3 linked regions of the Saccharomyces cerevisiae S288C genome follow. The gene in region 1 interacts genetically with each later gene. Each region holds a gene or a part of one and is shown in the gene's direction. Other genes may lie near its edges.

What was found.
Region 2: of CCC1 (region 1) and FRA1, extra expression of one rescues a mutant of the other (dosage rescue), as found in Saccharomyces cerevisiae (2 studies listed by BioGRID, with this or other methods).
Region 3: of CCC1 (region 1) and FET4, changing one enhances a phenotype caused by changing the other (phenotypic enhancement), as found in Saccharomyces cerevisiae (one study listed by BioGRID).

What each region holds. Positions count from the first base shown.
Region 1 is NC_001144.5:573,453-579,607, forward strand, and holds CCC1 (Ccc1p), read left to right. Parts: upstream 1-3,372; coding exon 3,373-4,341; downstream 4,342-6,155. Other genes in the region: COA4 (Coa4p), read right to left, coding at 14-466; MSC3 (Msc3p), read left to right, coding at 699-2,885; RSA3 (Rsa3p), read right to left, coding at 4,910-5,572; U3 snoRNA-associated protein UTP13, read right to left, coding at 5,866-6,155. UniProt on the Saccharomyces cerevisiae protein: Has a role in both calcium and manganese homeostasis. Involved in the transfer of iron and Mn(2+) from the cytosol to the vacuole for storage of these metals.
Region 2 is NC_001144.5:78,181-84,929, forward strand, and holds FRA1 (aminopeptidase P), read left to right. Parts: upstream 1-3,280; coding exon 3,281-5,530; downstream 5,531-6,749. Other genes in the region: mannose-ethanolamine phosphotransferase GPI13, read right to left, coding at 1-2,025; RRT7 (Rrt7p), read right to left, coding at 2,176-2,517; polyamine transporter TPO1, read left to right, coding at 6,624-6,749. UniProt on the Saccharomyces cerevisiae protein: Involved in the regulation of the iron regulon in responss to decreased mitochondrial iron-sulfur cluster synthesis.
Region 3 is NC_001145.3:912,865-919,613, reverse strand, and holds FET4 (Fet4p), read left to right. Parts: upstream 1-5,075; coding exon 5,076-6,734; downstream 6,735-6,749. Other genes in the region: SNO4 (glutathione-independent methylglyoxalase family protein), read left to right, coding at 535-1,248; YMR321C (uncharacterized protein), read left to right, coding at 1,718-2,035; YMR320W (uncharacterized protein), read right to left, coding at 2,563-2,868. UniProt on the Saccharomyces cerevisiae protein: Required for Fe(2+) ion low affinity uptake.

The sequences.
Region 1 (6,155 bases):
GACATTTAGATTTTCATTTCTTCTTTTCCGAATCCTTACTGGTCGTCCCATCCACGTCCACTGTGCTTACGCGCTCTCTATTACCATTCTTTTCCCAACACTTCCTAAATAACGCCATCTCGTTGAAGCACTGCCTCCAGTCACCTGTTTCGGCATGGCACAGCTGTAATGCGAGGTTCTCTACGTAGCATCCGGTCTTGGATATTCTCGTGTCCCACACATCCGGGTCTTCGTCTTCTTGGACCTCTTTGTATTCTTCCAGCGCCTGCTTATAATACTCTGAAGTTTCGCCAGTTTCACTCATGACCAGTCTGCCAGTTTTAGCCTGCCAGAGCTTTTCTTTCCCTTTAATCTTCCCTTGTTTGGCGCAACTCTTAGAAGTGCCTTTCACTACCTTTAATGGCTGAGGCCCCTTTTTTTGTTTCGGACATTTGTTGTGAGAAAAAAAAGAAGAAAATAAAAGCATAAATGAAGCGAATGGATGAGAAGAGGGGAGGGAAAGCAAGAACGAGAAGGACAAACATCAGGGACCCATACTTCAATAAATTGCTTGATTTGGTGTTAATCAATTCTTCTAACATCAAACCTCTTTTAGTTTCCTTCGATCGTTTCACGTTGCTTATATTGATTGCTTTTTACTTCTATTTTTTCACTAGAATAAACAAACAAAGACATTCTGTTGATCAAGAAAGTTGAAAATGGTATTTGGTTTTACAAAGAGGGACAGGAGGGTACCTGATTTATCTAGGTATGATTACTACTATCAGAACCATGAAGATTATAACAAAAGTCCTCAGCTCTCTGCTGCTGCTGCCTCTGCTGCTTCTGCCGCATCACCGGATCGAACCAATTACTCAAGGTCGCACTCGCTGGTTAGTCATGCACCTTCAATACCGAGACAAAGAAGTTCGGTAAAGAGCCCAGGAAGAAGGCTTTCCACATCCTCTGCCGCTCCGCCAACGTCCAGGGCAGCAGCTAAGCAGTATTCACAGAAGACTTACTCGTTGAGGTCGCAAAGGAGCGGAGAGTACCATTTACACCCGCCCGGTTATACTACTAATGGGAGCCGTATGAATTCTATGACGTCTGGTGCGAATGTCAGAAGAAACTACGGTAAGAACAAATCGACGGCCGGCAACAATAACGATTCAAGGGCCAACTCCATTACCGTAAAGACTACACAAGTAACAGACCCTTCAGGAAGGACTCAATCAATTACCAAAAAGACAATAAGAAAAATAAATGGGTATGAATACGTAGAAACCACGACTACGACTAAGAATTTGGTTCCATTAGGTGACTCGCAGCGTCATTTCGATGAATTTAGTGAAAATTACATGTTGCAAGATGACGACATTTTAGAGGAACAAGCTAGTGATAACATTCACGATATAATCGAGGAAAACGAAACAGATAACGAAAAGCCATATTCCCCAGTAAGCGAAAGTCATTTACAAGATGATTCAGAGCTAAACGTGGAAAAACCAGATTTCCCACTTGGATCATATTTCCACCATAAGTATTCTACAGACGTTATGCCTCTAGAAGAAGAAAGTAGTTTATCAAACTTCAGTGACGCATTAGATTATATTCCTCCCACCCATCAGACCAGTAGTAAATATATTCATAATAAAAGGAAGCAAGCATCGACGACAAGAAGGAAGAAAAGACCGCCTGCCGTGAAAAACGCAGAAGCAGAGGCCAAGAAACCATTAACCGAAGCAGAAATGTATCTGAAGGCACTAGAGGTTGCTAAAAGAAACGTTTATCACACGGATGCTGCTTCGGATAACGCATCGGCCCCCCTCGGGAGTAACAAATCCAGGAAAAGTAGGATGGGTCAAAAAATGACCTTGAGAAGCAGTAGTGATTCTCCGACGGCGACTGCTAATCTTGTCAAATCTAATGTCGAGGTTCAACCAAAAAGATTTACAAGTTCCTTCTTCAGCAGAAATACTAAAAGCGCCCCCCATGAAGTGCACAATCACTCTGTGTCTACACATTTTAAATCGAATAAGGCTGTTGACCCAGTTCCAGAGCCTAAAAGTGCAAACACAGGGCTAACAGATAAAGAAATGTATGACCAAGCTTTGAAAATCGCACAAGCGAGGTATTACAACTCACATGGTATTCAACCTGAAGCAGTCGATAATAGCACTACGGCGGCTAAACCTCGTCAGGTCGGCGTTAGCCATCTGGGATCCACTGGGAGCATCCCGCCCAATGAGCAGCACTATTTAGGGGATTCTGAAATTCCAGTCCAAAGCGAAGTGCATGAATACGAGCCCATTCCATTGCAGAAGACAAAAACAACTGGTTCTTCCAAAAATAAGTTCAAAACCATGTTCGATAAAGTGCTGCAATTCTCTCAAGAAAACTACGGCTACCAGCACAAGAAGGAACAAGGCGAACAAACTCCAGTTACTCGTAATGCTGAAGAAAGCTTCCCAGCAGCGTCTATTTCGGAAGGTGTGACAACCGCAAAGCCATCTTCAAACGAAGGTGTGATGACGAATCCAGTAGTTACAGATTCACCTTCACCCCTTCAACAACAAATAGACTCGACTACTGCGTCCTCGAATGGGCAAAGTCAGGGCAATGTACCTACCTCCGCAGTAGCTTCAACAACGAGAACAAGATCACCGGAACTGCAGGATAATCTAAAGTCTTCTTCTTCGCTTTTACAGGACCAAACCCCTCAGCGTCAGGAAGACGCCACGGATCCAACAACATCATCGACGAATGAATTATCTGCCGCTGAGCCAACAATGGTCACTTCGACACATGCCACTAAGACAATACAGGCTCAAACACAAGATCCTCCCACGAAGCACAAGAAGTCCAGTTTCTTCACTAAACTGTTCAAGAAAAAAAGCAGCCGTTAGCAGTTGTTTACTCGAATTTTGCAATCAACCCTAATTTTTGAAGCCTGGTTTTAGATTTATTCTCTTCTTTTTCTTCTTGTGAACTTCAATTACTAATGTAACTTAATTTTTAATATAACTTTTACAGTTTAATAATATTGATTTTTTTCGGTCTGGACCAATCGCGCCGCATTTCTCACTAATATTACTAACATACCCTCTTCTCATTGGCTCGGTACCCCTTTCGTGACCCGCATTTTTTGTTTTCTTTGTTAGCCCGAATGTCTCACAATGAAGATGTAAAATTAAGATTATATATGAAAAATTGATACAAAACAAAATAGTTCAAATAATCAAGTTAAAGCGACATCACTCTCAATTTTTGCTTTTTTTAGGTTTATAGAATAGAAATATAACAGAACGAAGCCTTTAGACTCTTTTTTTTTATTGGTATATTGAACAAAGAAACTTTTTTTTTGTCCTCCCATATCTCGTGCACACAAATATTATGTCCATTGTAGCACTAAAGAACGCAGTGGTGACCCTTATACAGAAAGCGAAAGGTAGTGGTGGAACCTCAGAGTTGGGGGGGTCTGAATCAACTCCCTTGTTGAGGGGTAGTAATAGCAATAGTTCAAGGCATGATAACTTATCCTCATCTAGCTCGGATATTATCTATGGTAGAAATTCAGCGCAGGATCTAGAAAACTCACCGATGTCAGTAGGGAAAGATAATAGGAATGGCGATAACGGTTCGGATAACGAAAAGGCGAACCTAGGGTTCTTCCAATCAGTAGATCCTCGCGTAATTAGCGATTTGATTATCGGGCTAAGCGACGGTTTAACCGTCCCCTTTGCTCTAACAGCTGGTCTATCTTCACTTGGTGATGCGAAATTGGTCATTACCGGTGGCTTTGCTGAGTTGATCTCAGGTGCGATTTCTATGGGCCTTGGTGGCTATTTGGGAGCGAAGAGTGAATCTGATTATTATCATGCTGAAGTAAAGAAGGAGAAAAGGAAATTTTACGATAACTCCAACCTAATTAACAGAGAAATTGAAGACATTCTGTTAGAGATTAACCCTAATTTCTCGGACGAAACAATCGTTTCGTTCATCAAAGATTTACAAAGAACACCTGAGCTAATGGTTGACTTCATTATCAGGTACGGTAGGGGTCTAGACGAACCTGCCGAGAATAGAGAACTAATCAGTGCAGTCACTATCGGTGGCGGTTATCTACTTGGTGGGCTAGTACCACTAGTGCCATATTTTTTTGTCTCAGATGTGGGCACAGGTCTCATTTATTCTATAATAGTCATGGTTGTAACATTATTCTGGTTTGGTTACGTAAAGACAAAACTATCCATGGGTAGTGGCAGTTCGACTTCAAAGAAAGTTACGGAAGGTGTTGAAATGGTTGTTGTGGGTGGTGTAGCAGCAGGTGCGGCTTGGTTCTTTGTTAAGTTACTGGGTTAAGTGTAAAGTAACAACACTATACATATTTATTGTAAAGAAATTTGGGATTGAGAAGCTTTGCTATATACTTGGAACTGGGCTGGATTTTCTCGACATACATTTCTTTTACGTTTTAATTTGTTTCTATATTCTCCTCTTTAAATTTATTTATATTAATGAATTTCAAACTAGTTTCTTTTTCTATTGCCAAGAGGCCCATCAGGTGATCCATGATAACCTTTATTCGCATTGAATCGTTTTTCATTGGATCTAATTCGTCATTTGGTCGCCGCCTTTCTTTGCTCCTTCTGCTTTTTTCTTTTTCTCTTTGACTATCAGGTCATAAGATCTTCTCCTCCATTATGCCCAAGTGTTTTTCTTTTTTTTGCCTTTATATAAATTACAAAATACATACATATACTTCTCGTGCAGTATACTGGAATCAGCTTTATACCATATGAAGCACAACTTGGATCAGGACCGCTCTTCATTAAAAATCGAAGAATTATCTAAATAATTAATGTGCACGTCAATATATTCTCCGCGGAAACATGACAAACTTTTAGAAAAAGATTTAAAGCAATATTTTTCAGTTCTCCATTTCTTTATTTTTCAAGACCAATTCTAGTTCACCAATATCAAACATTCCTATGCCTTCCTGCAGAGCATCTGCCAAAATGGATAGTGATTTATTCGTGAAATCCGGGGCAGCTCTAAGACGATTGATATCATCACCGTAGTTTTCAAAAAGTAAATTTAAGTATTCTTCCCTTAACTTTGTCTTGTCTTTCCCTTTGGGCACAAAGTTTTCTGCCAATTCATTGTATTCTTCTCTCGCAAGCTTGATATTTTCGGCAATTTTCGATGCATTCATAAAACCCTCCTTGTTTTGAGATTTCGTAGGCTCTGGGATCTTGCTCAAAGAAATTTTGGTTAAATCGTCTATCACTTCTTTTGAATTTAACTTCAAATCCTTGCTTTCTTCGTCTGTAAGCTCGACATCCGAAACTTCTATTGCAATGTCCTCTTGTTTGTCTTCGTCATTACCTTTTGAGAAAACATGATCACTTTTACCATTTTCTCCAACGTGTTCTTCGATGGCCCCATTTTGGATTTCCTCCTTTTCACTTTCTGATGATGGATCCGATGATGAAGAATCTGATGATGAAACATCAGCTGTTCTTCTCTTCTTCCTCCTTCTGTTTTTTTTGACAGACTTGATATTTATGGCTGATATATCACCTGCCGACATCCTGTATAATATATTATGGCTAGTTCTTTCCGTGCTATTTCAAGTGGGCAGTTTAAATTCTTGTATATATTACTACAATATATGAAAGTTTTCGCTCTTCGTTTTTTGCAAATTTTTAGTGATGAGCTCTTCGCGCAAAGAAGTTTTCAATGCCCGTAAAGGCACCTAATTATATATCGAATTATTTTAAGCTTTCCGCTTCATCAATGCATTTTGTCTTTATATATCTAGTTTACAAAATAATATGTTGCTATTGCCTTGCTTTTAAAGGCTCAATATCTTGGACTTACTGCCTAGAATAGCTTATCCATTTCCACTAGCGCGTAGTCTAATATGTAACTTTGTTCAACTAAGTTATCAACCCTTGTGAAATGCCTTTGCGTGTATGGAATTATTGCATCAACTATCTTTACCATTCCGGGTATCTCACTCAATTTTGCTATGTTATGATGCATCAAAATACATCTTATTGTTCTTTGCGCTATGGTATGTGTTTTTGCATTTGTATTCCAATCTCTGCATCGTTTCATTAACAAAATTAACTGTTCATCATTTAGGATAGAGATGGCTTGGTCCAATTCTT
Region 2 (6,749 bases), 500 kb from region 1:
TGGAATACAATATTCGCCTTGTTCCTCTCTACAAATGGTAATCATAGAAGCTAACCGGGTAAAAATGATTAAAACTGCAGAATGGTAACCTCCTAGTAATCTTGCAAATCTTGTTAATGGTAAGTAATTTGAATTTGCTGTCGAAGGATTGACCCCTGAAGTGGTTCCTTCCTTTTCACTGATTGTTGCAGTTAATAATGCAGTGGTGGATTGCCTTTTTGGTAAGAAGACAAATTCATACAACGTCAACATGCCGAAAGTAGATAAAAGGAATGCTACAATTCTATCCTCCCAAATAGTAAATGAATTGGAAGTGAAAAGCAAAGCATGAATAATCATAAACATGACAGCAATTCTTGACCAATAATCAGCTAATGTTTCACCCAGTCTCATAGCAATCCAAATAAAGTTGTACCTATCAAATATTGTGATATAACAACCAATAATGATACCAATTGCAGTCGCTAACAGGGTACCCCAGAATTGGTCTACAAAACTTGGTTGTTGATAAACGTAAAAAATTCCATGGAAACATAGGTTTGTAACTAAGACCATTATGATAATTCCCGGAACGAATTCTGGAACCATTTGATTCACAACAATAGAAGGAATTAATTTTGTAATGGATATCAACAGGACCAGTGAAGTGGCCAGTAGCGTTATACCGGTGGCAATGGAATAATAATCGAATTTGGCCCATAGTTCTTCGCAGGTCTGCAAGAAGACCTTTTGGTATTTATGACCCAGCTTAACAAATTTTTCTGGATCGCTTGTTGGGGGGGTGTTAGATATATTTTTCGCTAACGGTTCCAATATTTCGTCATTGCCATGGTGGATCTGCATCGTGTCCTTATATAATTGTAATTGGCTTATCGCTGAGTTGACAAATTGAGACCATTCTCTATCGTTTCTTGCTATTTCGTCAATAGGCCATCCAAGATTGTTAAATGGTATCGGTTGGCCCATCAATAACGCCAAACTAGACACCAAATCAATTTGTCTCACTGAACGGTAATCGTGTCCCAAATTATCAATGTTGTAATTCGAAGTTTCTTTAAGTCTCCACATGTCCGGCTTCTTAGAATAAAGAAATAAAGTGCTTTCGAGCTCGTCGATGGAGTCGCCACCGTGATTGCCCGTATGGTCCATTCCATGGTCACCCAAAATAACCAATAAGGTATCATCATCGATCGATTTTAGTATCCAATCGATAAATTGATCTACTTGAATTTGTTTTTCCCTCATAGTAAAATGGTCGGGGCCATATTTGTGGCCCACATGGTCAATACCTAGCATGTGTCCAATCATGACGTCCCATTCCTTGTCCTGCTGTAAATGATCATGGAAGTAATCCATAACACCGTTATCGACAGTATCTAAGTCCCACACATTGAGTGATTCTAGTGGGAAACTATCGTTGGAAAGGAACGGATGGAACAGAGCCATCCATGTATCATCTCCGGCAAATTTGACAGTCTTATTTGCCAAATGGAGCTGTTTAAGAAAGTTATCCTCTTCGATTACTGTTCCATCGAAGTTAGACCCGGCATCAATGAAAGTCGGTAAGGACCCTGTTGTGAGACCCTTGAGTCTTTGTAAAGTAGTGGTTGGTGGGTCGGCAATGAACTTCAACAATAGGGAAGATGCATCCTTATCGCTTGCAAAAGAATCATACAATGATAATATATTATTATGATAGTTCAAGTTGTAATTAGAGTGGGATTCGTTTACAGGAATAGCGAAATCAAATCTCAAAGCGTCAATAACCAAAATCACCGCCTTGTTGAACCTAGGAGGTAACTTACTCGTTTCGTTTTGTGAGGAAATATTATCAAGAACGTGTCTTGACAGTAAGAATCCCCGAGTGAAAAAAGCTATTGATATGAATTGTAAAATGGCGATGAAAACCAATAGAATAATATAAAATTTATGATTCTTTTGAAATTTCTTTATTCGCGATTTGTATATTATTTTTTCATCATTGGAAGATGAAAGAATCGACTTTTTAATTGTCTTTTCATCCATATTACGGGAGCTTTTTTTTTCCACTTAATGTATTGATCTTCCTCCCGTTCTTTGACGATTCGGCGTTGCCCTTAAAACATATGCTTCTATTCCTTTTTTGATCTTACCCATTTATTTGTTTTTTTTTATTTTCCGGTGGACAACAAAATGTTAAAGGAAAAAAGAAAGTACCTTGCTCGTCATCGCGCTTGCATAATGTGCGCCATTACCCTGTAACAAAAACAAAAGATAGAGTGGCAACAACTTGACACAACTTTGCAATTGTACCATGAACCCCAACAAGAAAGGCGGTTGAGAGTAAATGATGTGGTTTGGTTCCTTTTTTTTCCTACATTTAAGGTTCATAGAGAAGAAAATTTTCTGAAATGTCTTTTCCTCTTTTAATGAATTGTAAAAAAGCCAGTATTGGAATAATATTCTATTCAATATAGTAAGAAAAGAGGCAATGGGCAGAAATCTTCTCCCGCATAATCCTTTAAATGCAAAATACATGTTAGGCGTCTAAATTTTTTTCAGTGAATCCAGATGCAGAAACATTTAAACAATAAATATCTTAAACCCATTTTGAAGCATCGGCGGCTAAAAAAATGATTTTGCATGGAAAAAAATGAGAGCTGTGAACCCAATAAAAAAGACAGCTTTTTAAAAATGTATAACGGTACATTAAGCTCTTGTTTATTCCTCAAACTGCTCCTAAAAACCATCCTCTCAAAAATAATAATGATAGCTGAAGATTATCTGCCACGAAATGCCATTGAGCCGCTTACTTGTAGGTTTTCATGAGTAATAACGAAGATAATTTACCCGTCTTTATAACCCACGTAAAAATAAACATATAATTATTTCTTATTATTTCAACTAACCGTTAAAGTGTTCAAATATGGTAGAAAGCTTTCCCTATGTGCATTATGATTATCTTTTAGCCGCCAGAGTTTAGTTTAATTTTGTTTTGTTTTTGACGACTTCTGGTGTTACCCGAAGGTATATCCCCGGGTGACCCCTAAAAATCGCACCCCATTTTCCCGAATTTTCTTCTACGTTTTCTTTTTTCAGAAATACTTCGAATGAGGGATGGAACAAGAAGGAAGCGACATACAAAAACTGAGTCAGTTTAGTCTTAATAGGTGCAATATTTACAAATACAGGAAAGGCAGGAAGCACTGGCAAAAAGACTGCATAGCTAAAAAAAAAAAGAATAAAAAAAAAACGGAGACCTCAACAGAGCGAAACCAATAATTACAAACAAAATCTTCATATGACTTCGAAACCATCCACCAGTGACGGCAGGGCTCACTCGATTTCCCATGTACCTGGCACGCACATGAGAGGAACATCGGCATCACACAGCCCCAGACCGTTTAGGCCATGTGCGGATTGTACGTGTTCTCCAGGCTTACTGTCTAGGCAAGGTCGTAGAGCCTCTCTATTTTTAAGACAGTTAGAAAATTCAAGGAGGTCCTCCAGCATGCTTCTCAACGAGTTGAAGGGCGCTGGCGGAGGTAGCAGTGCTGGAAATGGGTCTGTTTACTCATGTGACTCTCTATGCGCTGTTAACAGGGAAGTTAACACTACTGATAGATTGTTGAAGTTGCGTCAGGAGATGAAGAAACACGATTTGTGTTGTTATATTGTGCCCAGTTGTGACGAACATCAGTCCGAATATGTATCATTGCGAGATCAAAGGCGCGCCTTCATTTCAGGGTTTTCCGGATCGGCCGGTGTAGCCTGTATCACCAGAGACTTGTTAAATTTCAACGATGACCATCCGGATGGGAAATCCATTTTGAGTACTGATGGAAGATATTTCAATCAAGCTAGACAAGAACTAGATTATAATTGGACACTTTTGAGGCAAAACGAAGACCCAATCACTTGGCAAGAATGGTGTGTCAGAGAAGCTTTGGAAATGGCCAAGGGACTTGGCAATAAAGAGGGAATGGTGTTGAAGATAGGTATTGACCCAAAACTTATCACTTTCAACGACTATGTTTCTTTTAGAAAAATGATTGACACTAAATATGACGCAAAGGGTAAAGTGGAGCTGGTTCCCGTGGAGGAAAACTTAGTTGACAGTATTTGGCCTGATTTTGAAACTCTACCTGAAAGGCCTTGTAACGATTTACTACTGTTAAAATACGAGTTTCATGGTGAAGAATTCAAAGACAAGAAGGAAAAGTTACTGAAAAAGCTGAATGATAAGGCTTCCTCTGCGACGACCGGTAGGAATACTTTCATAGTAGTTGCGTTGGATGAAATTTGTTGGTTGTTGAACTTGCGTGGATCCGACATTGACTATAATCCAGTTTTTTTCTCCTACGTGGCTATTAACGAAGACGAAACCATTCTTTTCACCAATAACCCCTTCAATGATGACATATCGGAATATTTTAAGATAAACGGTATTGAAGTCAGACCTTACGAACAGATATGGGAACATTTAACAAAGATAACTTCGCAGGCTTCTTCTGCGGAGCATGAATTTTTGATTCCTGATAGTGCATCGTGGCAGATGGTTCGTTGTTTGAACACCTCAACCAACGCTAACGGTGCAATAGCTAAAAAAATGACTGCACAAAACTTTGCGATAATTCACTCACCCATCGATGTTTTGAAATCTATCAAGAATGACATCGAAATAAAAAACGCACACAAGGCGCAGGTCAAAGACGCAGTATGTTTAGTGCAGTATTTTGCATGGCTGGAGCAGCAATTAGTGGGGCGCGAGGCACTGATAGATGAATATCGTGCCGCAGAAAAATTGACCGAGATTAGGAAAACCCAAAGGAACTTCATGGGCAATTCCTTCGAAACAATATCCTCCACAGGTAGTAACGCCGCCATCATACATTATTCGCCGCCCGTAGAGAACTCTTCGATGATTGATCCTACCAAGATATATCTTTGCGACTCCGGTTCGCAATTCTTGGAGGGTACAACTGATATAACAAGAACAATTCACTTAACAAAGCCAACCAAAGAAGAAATGGATAATTACACACTGGTACTTAAAGGTGGCTTAGCCCTAGAGAGGTTGATTTTTCCCGAAAACACTCCCGGGTTTAATATCGACGCCATCGCTAGGCAGTTTTTATGGTCCCGCGGGTTAGATTACAAACATGGCACAGGCCATGGTATCGGATCATTTTTAAACGTTCACGAAGGACCCATGGGTGTCGGCTTTAGGCCACATCTGATGAATTTCCCCTTAAGAGCGGGTAACATAATAAGTAACGAACCAGGTTATTATAAGGATGGTGAGTATGGTATCAGGATTGAAAGCGACATGTTAATCAAGAAGGCCACTGAGAAGGGTAACTTCTTGAAATTCGAAAACATGACTGTGGTTCCCTATTGCAGGAAGTTGATCAATACTAAGTTACTAAACGAAGAAGAAAAAACACAGATTAACGAGTACCACGCAAGGGTATGGAGGACAATAGTGCATTTTCTGCAGCCTCAGAGTATTTCATACAAGTGGCTGAAAAGAGAAACAAGCCCACTATGACTTCGAGGCGAGCGGGGCGCAATACAATTAATGTTAGTATTTATTCTAAGTAGTTTCTTTCTTTTTATTTAATTTGAGTGATAACAATAACAACAATAATGACTAAAAGGTGAAAATTGAAAACATTACCTTCATTTTTTTACGGCCGGAGAGGGGTAGGTACACTTAACCCCGAGCGCTTTTAGTGCCAAAAAGAGTTAATGTGCGTAGTCGGATTTTAAACGACCATGCATGTACAGCCCCCTAGTGATTTATACTGATGCCTCATCAAGAAATTTTTTCATCCAGGGTCCCTGCTCGGCGAACCTTTCCGCAAGAGTCACAAAAATCAATCTTATAACCAGGCACCAGTAGTACTGCCAAGCTTGGACTACATAGCCAACGTAAAGACAAGGAGTCTGATTTAGTATTTCTTTTTTGCCAGCCAGTATTTTCTGCGCAGGATAGATTATTTTAAGAGCCGAGAATTCCTTATGCGGGCCCGGTCACAACGGATTATAGGTTCCGCCAGACCCCGTTGCTTTGGTTCCATGGAGCAGGAGCAGGATTTTCCGTGGAAAGAGAAGCACCGAGCGAAAAGCGGATACGGAAGGCGGATGCGGAAACGGATGCGGACGCGGAAGGAAGGAAGGAAGCAAACCCTTCCGTCTATGTCGCTATGAAGCCGTCTCACAGTAGAGCCATTCGAGATTTCCGTCCGTCGGTACACAGAAATCTTCGTATCGGGAGTTTTACTTTAAAAGGAAACGATCGTAGGAATTCCCTAAAGAAAAAGGAAGAAAAATTTAACGTTGAACATTGTCATTTTCTTTTTTTTTTTTATGTGTGCAGAATATACTATCAAGTAATGTGTTCTATATATAAAGGGTACCTCATTTGATCTTGATGTTTCTTTCTGCTCGTATGCCTTGAGTCACCAGTTTTCAAAAATAATCTTGGTCTATAGAAGAGAAAAATCCAATAATCTGAAATTGGTTCTTCGCACCCTTGCAACGAGATCATATACTAAATATCGGGAACTCTTTATTTCTGGATCTTTTATCAGTCACTTTTTTTTTTAGTCAAAGAAGCAAGAGAAAACTAGACAGAGACAATGTCGGATCATTCTCCCATTTCTAATAAGGAAAATCATCTGCTGCCATCAGACTCGTCAAGAAGCTCATCCAGCGATATGCATTCGACGGGCACCACGGGAACCACAGGCGTCGAACCTGTAGAT
Region 3 (6,749 bases), on another chromosome or scaffold:
ACTTCCTTGTTCTTGTCATTTTTTCCTTATCTCCATCCTTTAAGGAAGCTATTTCCATTATGCGATTCTATAAATCCGAGCATGCGAGTATTTCTTTTCTTGGCGCGGAGTCGCTGATGACGCAATAGGCACATTCATGAACATCCAGGACTGGTAATCTTCTCGTCTTAAAAAAAATCCAACCACCAGTAAAGAAACTCTTGGGTAAAATGCAGTATCTGAAATATTGCATAGCTGCAAATGAAGATATTCAGTATCAGCATAGGTATTTTCATGAAGGATAGGTAAAAAGAAAGAAAAGAAAAATATCTTTTTGACTGTCATTCTTGCAATTATCACAATTAGGGGACTTTAAAACCGATACTTGATATATGAGCACAGTCAAGGGGCCGGTTCTTGAGATTTTAATGGAAAACAAGAAAGTTGCACATACAGGTCTGCTTTTCTTTGCTTGCTCCAGACAACGATACTTAGAACTAAAACATATTTCTAGAACACTTTTCTCCTTCATTCAAAAAGAAAACTGGCCTTGCAATGACTCCAAAAAGAGCGCTAATATCTCTTACTTCATACCACGGTCCCTTCTATAAAGATGGTGCGAAAACAGGCGTTTTTGTAGTTGAGATTTTGCGGTCGTTCGATACTTTCGAAAAGCATGGTTTCGAAGTGGACTTCGTTTCTGAGACTGGTGGATTTGGCTGGGATGAACATTACTTGCCAAAGAGCTTTATTGGTGGCGAAGATAAGATGAACTTTGAAACGAAAAATTCCGCCTTCAATAAGGCGTTAGCGAGGATCAAGACCGCAAATGAAGTCAACGCCAGCGACTATAAAATATTCTTTGCATCTGCTGGACATGGTGCTCTATTTGACTATCCCAAAGCTAAAAATCTGCAAGATATTGCATCCAAGATATATGCCAATGGGGGTGTGATCGCCGCCATCTGTCATGGACCGCTCCTTTTCGATGGATTAATAGATATCAAAACAACAAGACCATTAATCGAAGGCAAAGCTATAACAGGTTTCCCACTCGAGGGTGAAATCGCCCTGGGAGTTGACGACATCTTGAGGAGCAGAAAATTGACAACGGTTGAACGCGTTGCAAACAAGAATAGAGCCAAGTACTTGGCGCCAATTCATCCCTGGGATGACTACTCTATTACCGATGGAAAGCTAGTTACGGGTGTTAACGCAAATTCTTCCTATTCGACCACAATTAGAGCTATAAACGCATTATATAGCTGAAACAAAAGACAAGGGAATTGTTGAAGGGGAGGCTTCTAATGGCCTTCAGTTTCTGTGAAGAGAAGGCTAACAGCTCAATGGTTCGAAAGGTAAAGAAAACGGCAGATCGGTAGCACTCGATTTTGCTAGAATGGAAATCATATAGAGAACAATTGAATAGTAGGCCTTGGTTTTTAGTGTTGTACTCATCATGGTCATATGTGACATAGGTAATGTACATATATATAAAAAAAAAAAAAAAAAAAGCAATGCTGTGAGATCATTCGTTACTTACGAAATACGCAGATTGCAATTTGAAATAAGCTGTGTTTCCTTTTTTCTTTTTTTTTTTTGGCTTGTTATATACAACTTTTTTCTATTTCTGTTCTTTTAGGAGTAATTAATTGGTACATGGGAAATAAATATGAATTATATTAAATGAAGTAAAAGTAAAAGAAAACGGGGAAATTTATCGTTTCGTAGTAAATAGATGATGGACTTGGGCGACAAAATAAATCCTAACCTCTCGTTCTTAGGAATCAACTGCGTCAGCTTCAACCAATCACCCGACATTCTTGAGTCTCTACATCAAGCACTGCCAAATATGGCCTTGCTTGCTTATCCAAACAGTGGTGAAGTTTATGATACTGAAAAGAAGATATGGTTGCCAAATAGCGATAAGCTGAACAGTTGGGATACGGTTGTTAAACAGTACATTAGCAGCGGTGCCCGTATCATTGGTGGTTGTTGCAGAACAAGTCCAAAAGACATCCAAGAGATTTCTGCAGCCGTCAAGAAATACACGTAAATGCCTTTTTAAAGAAACTGGAAAATTCTTAACATTATACATATGCTAGGAAGCAGCATGTTACACTAAATACATTTTATAAACAGCACAAGAAGTATTGTTAATTAATTATCCTTGCCATGTTTTTTTAGAGTCACAAATGCTTTTCCGTACTTCGCCGACAAAAAACAGAGTAAACATCATATGTTTTATAATCTAAAGGAATCAACTAACAGTTCATCAGATGGGAATTTGGGAGAGTGCACAAGTAAGATGGGGTAAAAGAAGATAAATCTCCACCGGATCTAAACCTTTGCCAATAATCCTCACATGGTGGAGCTACAATCTCGCCTTCTCCGACCAGTCACGATTAATTAAATTGCCTAAAATTAACTTTTATATTCCCATACAGTCGATATTGCTAGCTCAAAAGGCGTTATATTCGAAAGTTGTATCCAAATATTCCATCTAATGTATTATTGGCAAAAGGATTCCGTGATCTGTGTTCCCAAGAACAATCATAACCTTGAAAAATTATTCGCCAATCATTACATGCGGCAAACTAAAAAGCCTTTTTTTGTTGGCTCCGTGGCTCTATTGTCGCAGCTGATAAAAGCAGGTGCCCTTGGATATTTTCGAGAAATATATGACAACTTATTGATGTTTTGCTGGATCAAGTTTACGTGAAGGCAAATTTTCATAAAAGTGTAAAGTATTAACTCTTGAAGGTGCAATAACTCAATGGGTTTTTTTACCTTACAACTCAGCACCATCTTATAATTACAAGGCTGTAATATGTGAGGCCTGGCCGAAATTTCATGTGAAACAATACATGGCTTTCCAAATCTACGCATTTTTAGAGCTTTTCGTGAATGTCGTTACGCTGCTCCCTGACTTAACAATCCCGTTAGGGTATCTACTTCAGAGCAGATTACAATATCAAGAATGTTGTTGGTAGGTATTTGTAAACTTGAATTAGAATCCAAAAAGCCTTTACTAGGAGCTATTTTTAATAGTGTTTATGTTTTTCTTCGAGTACTCTATGAGATGGAAAATTGTCGCCTACGAAAATTTAGTACCTTCTCTTTATCCCAGTGACAAGTTATGCATGCTTGTTATACGATGTTAAATCTTCACTTAAAATCCTCTGGAGATGTACCGATTCCGGTAGGTTTCACTCGAAATTTAGCATATTTCAGTTTGGTTTCCTAACACGACCAGTCGCAGGTGAGAGTCTTGGAATTATCCTTCAACACTGTGTGTTATTGTAGATCAGTAATTAAAGATCAGTGTAGTATTTTCAAATATTCTTTACTTCAGTAAGGACAGAATTTGTAGTGACATTTAATGAAGAATAACAAAGGGATATGGATGTCAGGCGACATTACTCGACGTAAATTACTCTCACGAAGGCAAAAATATAACCTAGCCATTGAGTCCTAACCTACTATTAGCGAGATCTTTCTCATTTCGGCTTTAGAGTGTTCATTTTAATACGATGGCCAAAATTAAAAAAATTCGGCCATCAGACCTTGTCGCTTTACTAAGAAGTTATACGGATGAAGATGAATTACTTGAATAAAGATCTTCACTCACTAAATGAAAACATCTGCAGCACGTGCTTGTTATGCTTAACTCCTTGTAAAAATAGTGTATTTCAAAAAATACGCAGTGACAGAGTAAAGATACCCTAACTTTTGTCCGTTGTCCTCCGGTTCCATCATTGCCAAACTAAAGTACTAAGACCATTATCGTGGGTAAGATCATACATTTAAATAAAATAAAAGATACGTAAGCACCTAGATTCCTGGGACAAGCAGCTCAAAATATTTGTTCCTCTTTCCTGTATGAACTGTCAATGCGTTGCTGCTTCGCTGCACGTATTAAGGATTTTGATGGAAGGTCCAACAAAGAAAAAGAAACGTGCGCTTTTAAAAAAAGAAGCTTTTCCTACCAAAAGTTCTTTGATCTGCTTATTCAACGTAGCATCTTATTCGCATACATTGGACTCATGTTTAAGGCATTCTAATCACACCAGTTTCCTTGCATATGAGCAAATATCTGTGCTTGCTGTTCTAACCATACGTACTACTACGTTGATTGGATTATAATGTCCTTTGGGTATTCTCCGATTACGTTGTCCCATTTTTCTTTTTTGCCTTGTTGCGAAGAGCGTTGTTCCGAAAACCGGGTGCACTTTTTGTTCACTTTATATATCCCACGAGGAGACTGCGCGAACATGATATGTTTGACCTGGCATAGTGCTATTGTTCATAAACAATAAGCCCCCTAAATACCTGCATGTACGAAGGTGTACGTACGGTCATTCGCATTTCCCTAGCATTACTTTCAGTACTGGACAGGTTATTTTTACCCCTCTAGTTTGCGACTACCACTAAATGGGCCATTTTTACGTGTCTACGACATATCGCAAGGGTTTTTTTCTTTTGTCTTATTCGAGTAATTATATAAGCGCGCGTAGTCATTTTTTTAGCGAGACCCTAGGGTCCTGTAGCAGTAATTTGAGGTTTTCATGGCTCGAACAACGACAAAATATTGAGGAATCTTGAGCCTTATTGGGGCGTAAATCACACAGGTGTTGAATGAGCTTGGAGCTTGTGCGGTTATGTATTAGATATGGGCAGTTTCCTTTAACGTTGGCGCCTCTTTCTTTCCTACCCGTGGGGTTGCTCTCGAAACTGATTAGGTCATGAGCATTTTTGCTGAGTCTTTTTAGGAAGCAGCATTTTTCTCAAACGAAAAAAAAAAAAACCAAAAAAAAAAATAAAGACAAAAAAACTATATAATGCTACTGGCCTTGAACTTGCTTGGTAGAAGCCTTCTTAATTGCACCCATTAGTTTAGCATCTACCACATCTTGATTCGATGCTCTTCATTTAGAAATACTTGTTTATATAAATATACTTCACACGGCATGAATTAATTGATAGGTAAGTAAGTTTCTTTTATCATAAGTCAAACAGTATCAGATATAAGAAGGGAAAAGGTAGATATAGAAACCTAATAAGACCCTTATTATTAAACATTCGTTAATCAAATTATGGGTAAAATTGCAGAGTTTCTCGGGAATCCAGGTGCTAGGCCTGACGTTCATCATAGAGCACCTACTGTTGACTGCAAACAGTACGAAGAATTCGGTGATTCTAACGATTACAAAAATGATGATGTGGTCAGAGTAGTCAGCCATAGCGATGAGAGTACTGATGACGAACTTTGTAATGTGAATTTAACAGAAACAGGGGCAATCTTCACGAGTAAAGGTTTTACCGGGTTAAGCAAAGGTTTCACAGATAAGACCCTGGATTTCCTGGTACGAGTGGCCGGTTCGCAGGCGGTTTTTTTTATTGTTTGGATCATCCTCATAATTTGGGTGGTTATTGGTATTGTTTATAACGCACCTTTCAATTGGCAAGTTGTTATGCAGGACGGACAGTCTATTCAAAGTTATGTTTGGGACACACTGTTGATGAGACAACAGTTGATGAGTACGCATGAACAAATTTTGATCTGCGGTAGATTGAAGTCGAGATTGGCTTCCTTCAAAAACTATCTAACAAGAAGCACCCCAGAGGAAGAAAAAGCAGACTGCACAGTTGAAGCTAATGAAGTCAGCTCTGTTGAAAATCATATAGACCCATCTGCCATTAACGGAGAACTGCCTGTGGAAAATTGGTACGACCGTTTATCTAACGTAGCAAGTAGGTATATGGGTTCAATTGCAGCAATGGTGATATTTTGGATAGGTATTTTCGTTTGGATTGGTTGCGGTGCTATCCCAAAAGATGCGGGCAACACTCCACCTTACACCGGAGAAACTACAGGTAGTAATCCAAGATTGAAAAAGTTCAGTGACGCTTGGCAGATGTATATTAACACTGCAGTTGCAGTTTCCCTTCTAATTTGCACTACTTTCTTACAAAATATAAGGGCTAGACATGATTATTTCACGGGGAGGTTTTTAGTTGATATCTTTGATATGGACGAGAAAATCGACTATCGTATAAGAAAGCATTTTAACGATTTTGAAACACCTCACCCAGTTGTTACTATTGAATCTAAAAAAAGGTCGACAGGGAGAAAGATGATTGATTGGTATGCTGATATTATTGGTACTGGTATTGGTGTCCTGATTGGTGTGGCAGTGTTCGCCACATGGATTGGTATTGGTTCGCCAATGAAGTGGGATGATAATTGGTGGTTGATTATCGGTACATACACAGGTTTAATTGGGTTTTTGGACGGTTTCGTTTTGAGAGAAGTGTACTTCCGAATCGTTCAACATGAAGAGAAAAATTATTCTGATGTGGCTAAAGAAGACCTTGAATTATTCCAAGAATTAGGTATTGAATGTCCCGAAGAATTTAGTGGTAAAGCTCCTGAAATTAACACTATTGGTTACAGAACATCCCAATATATTAATAGGATCTGCTCAACTCCATGGAGTGTTCTTGTATCCGTCATCATCATCATTGGTTTAATTTGTATTGCTTCCGGTTTGCGTTGGAGTACAACAGGTCAATTGATTGCTAACACGCCAACTATGATTATCGAAGAATTTTTCTTGCTAGTTTTGTTGCAAGCACATAATTGGGCCGATCGTCAAAGAAGAGTGGAGGTTACCGCTTTGTACGCACGTAGGCGCATACTTCTATCATACGTAGAAAAGCGTTTCCCAGAGGTTATGATGTTGGAAAAATAGCTTCATTGAACATTT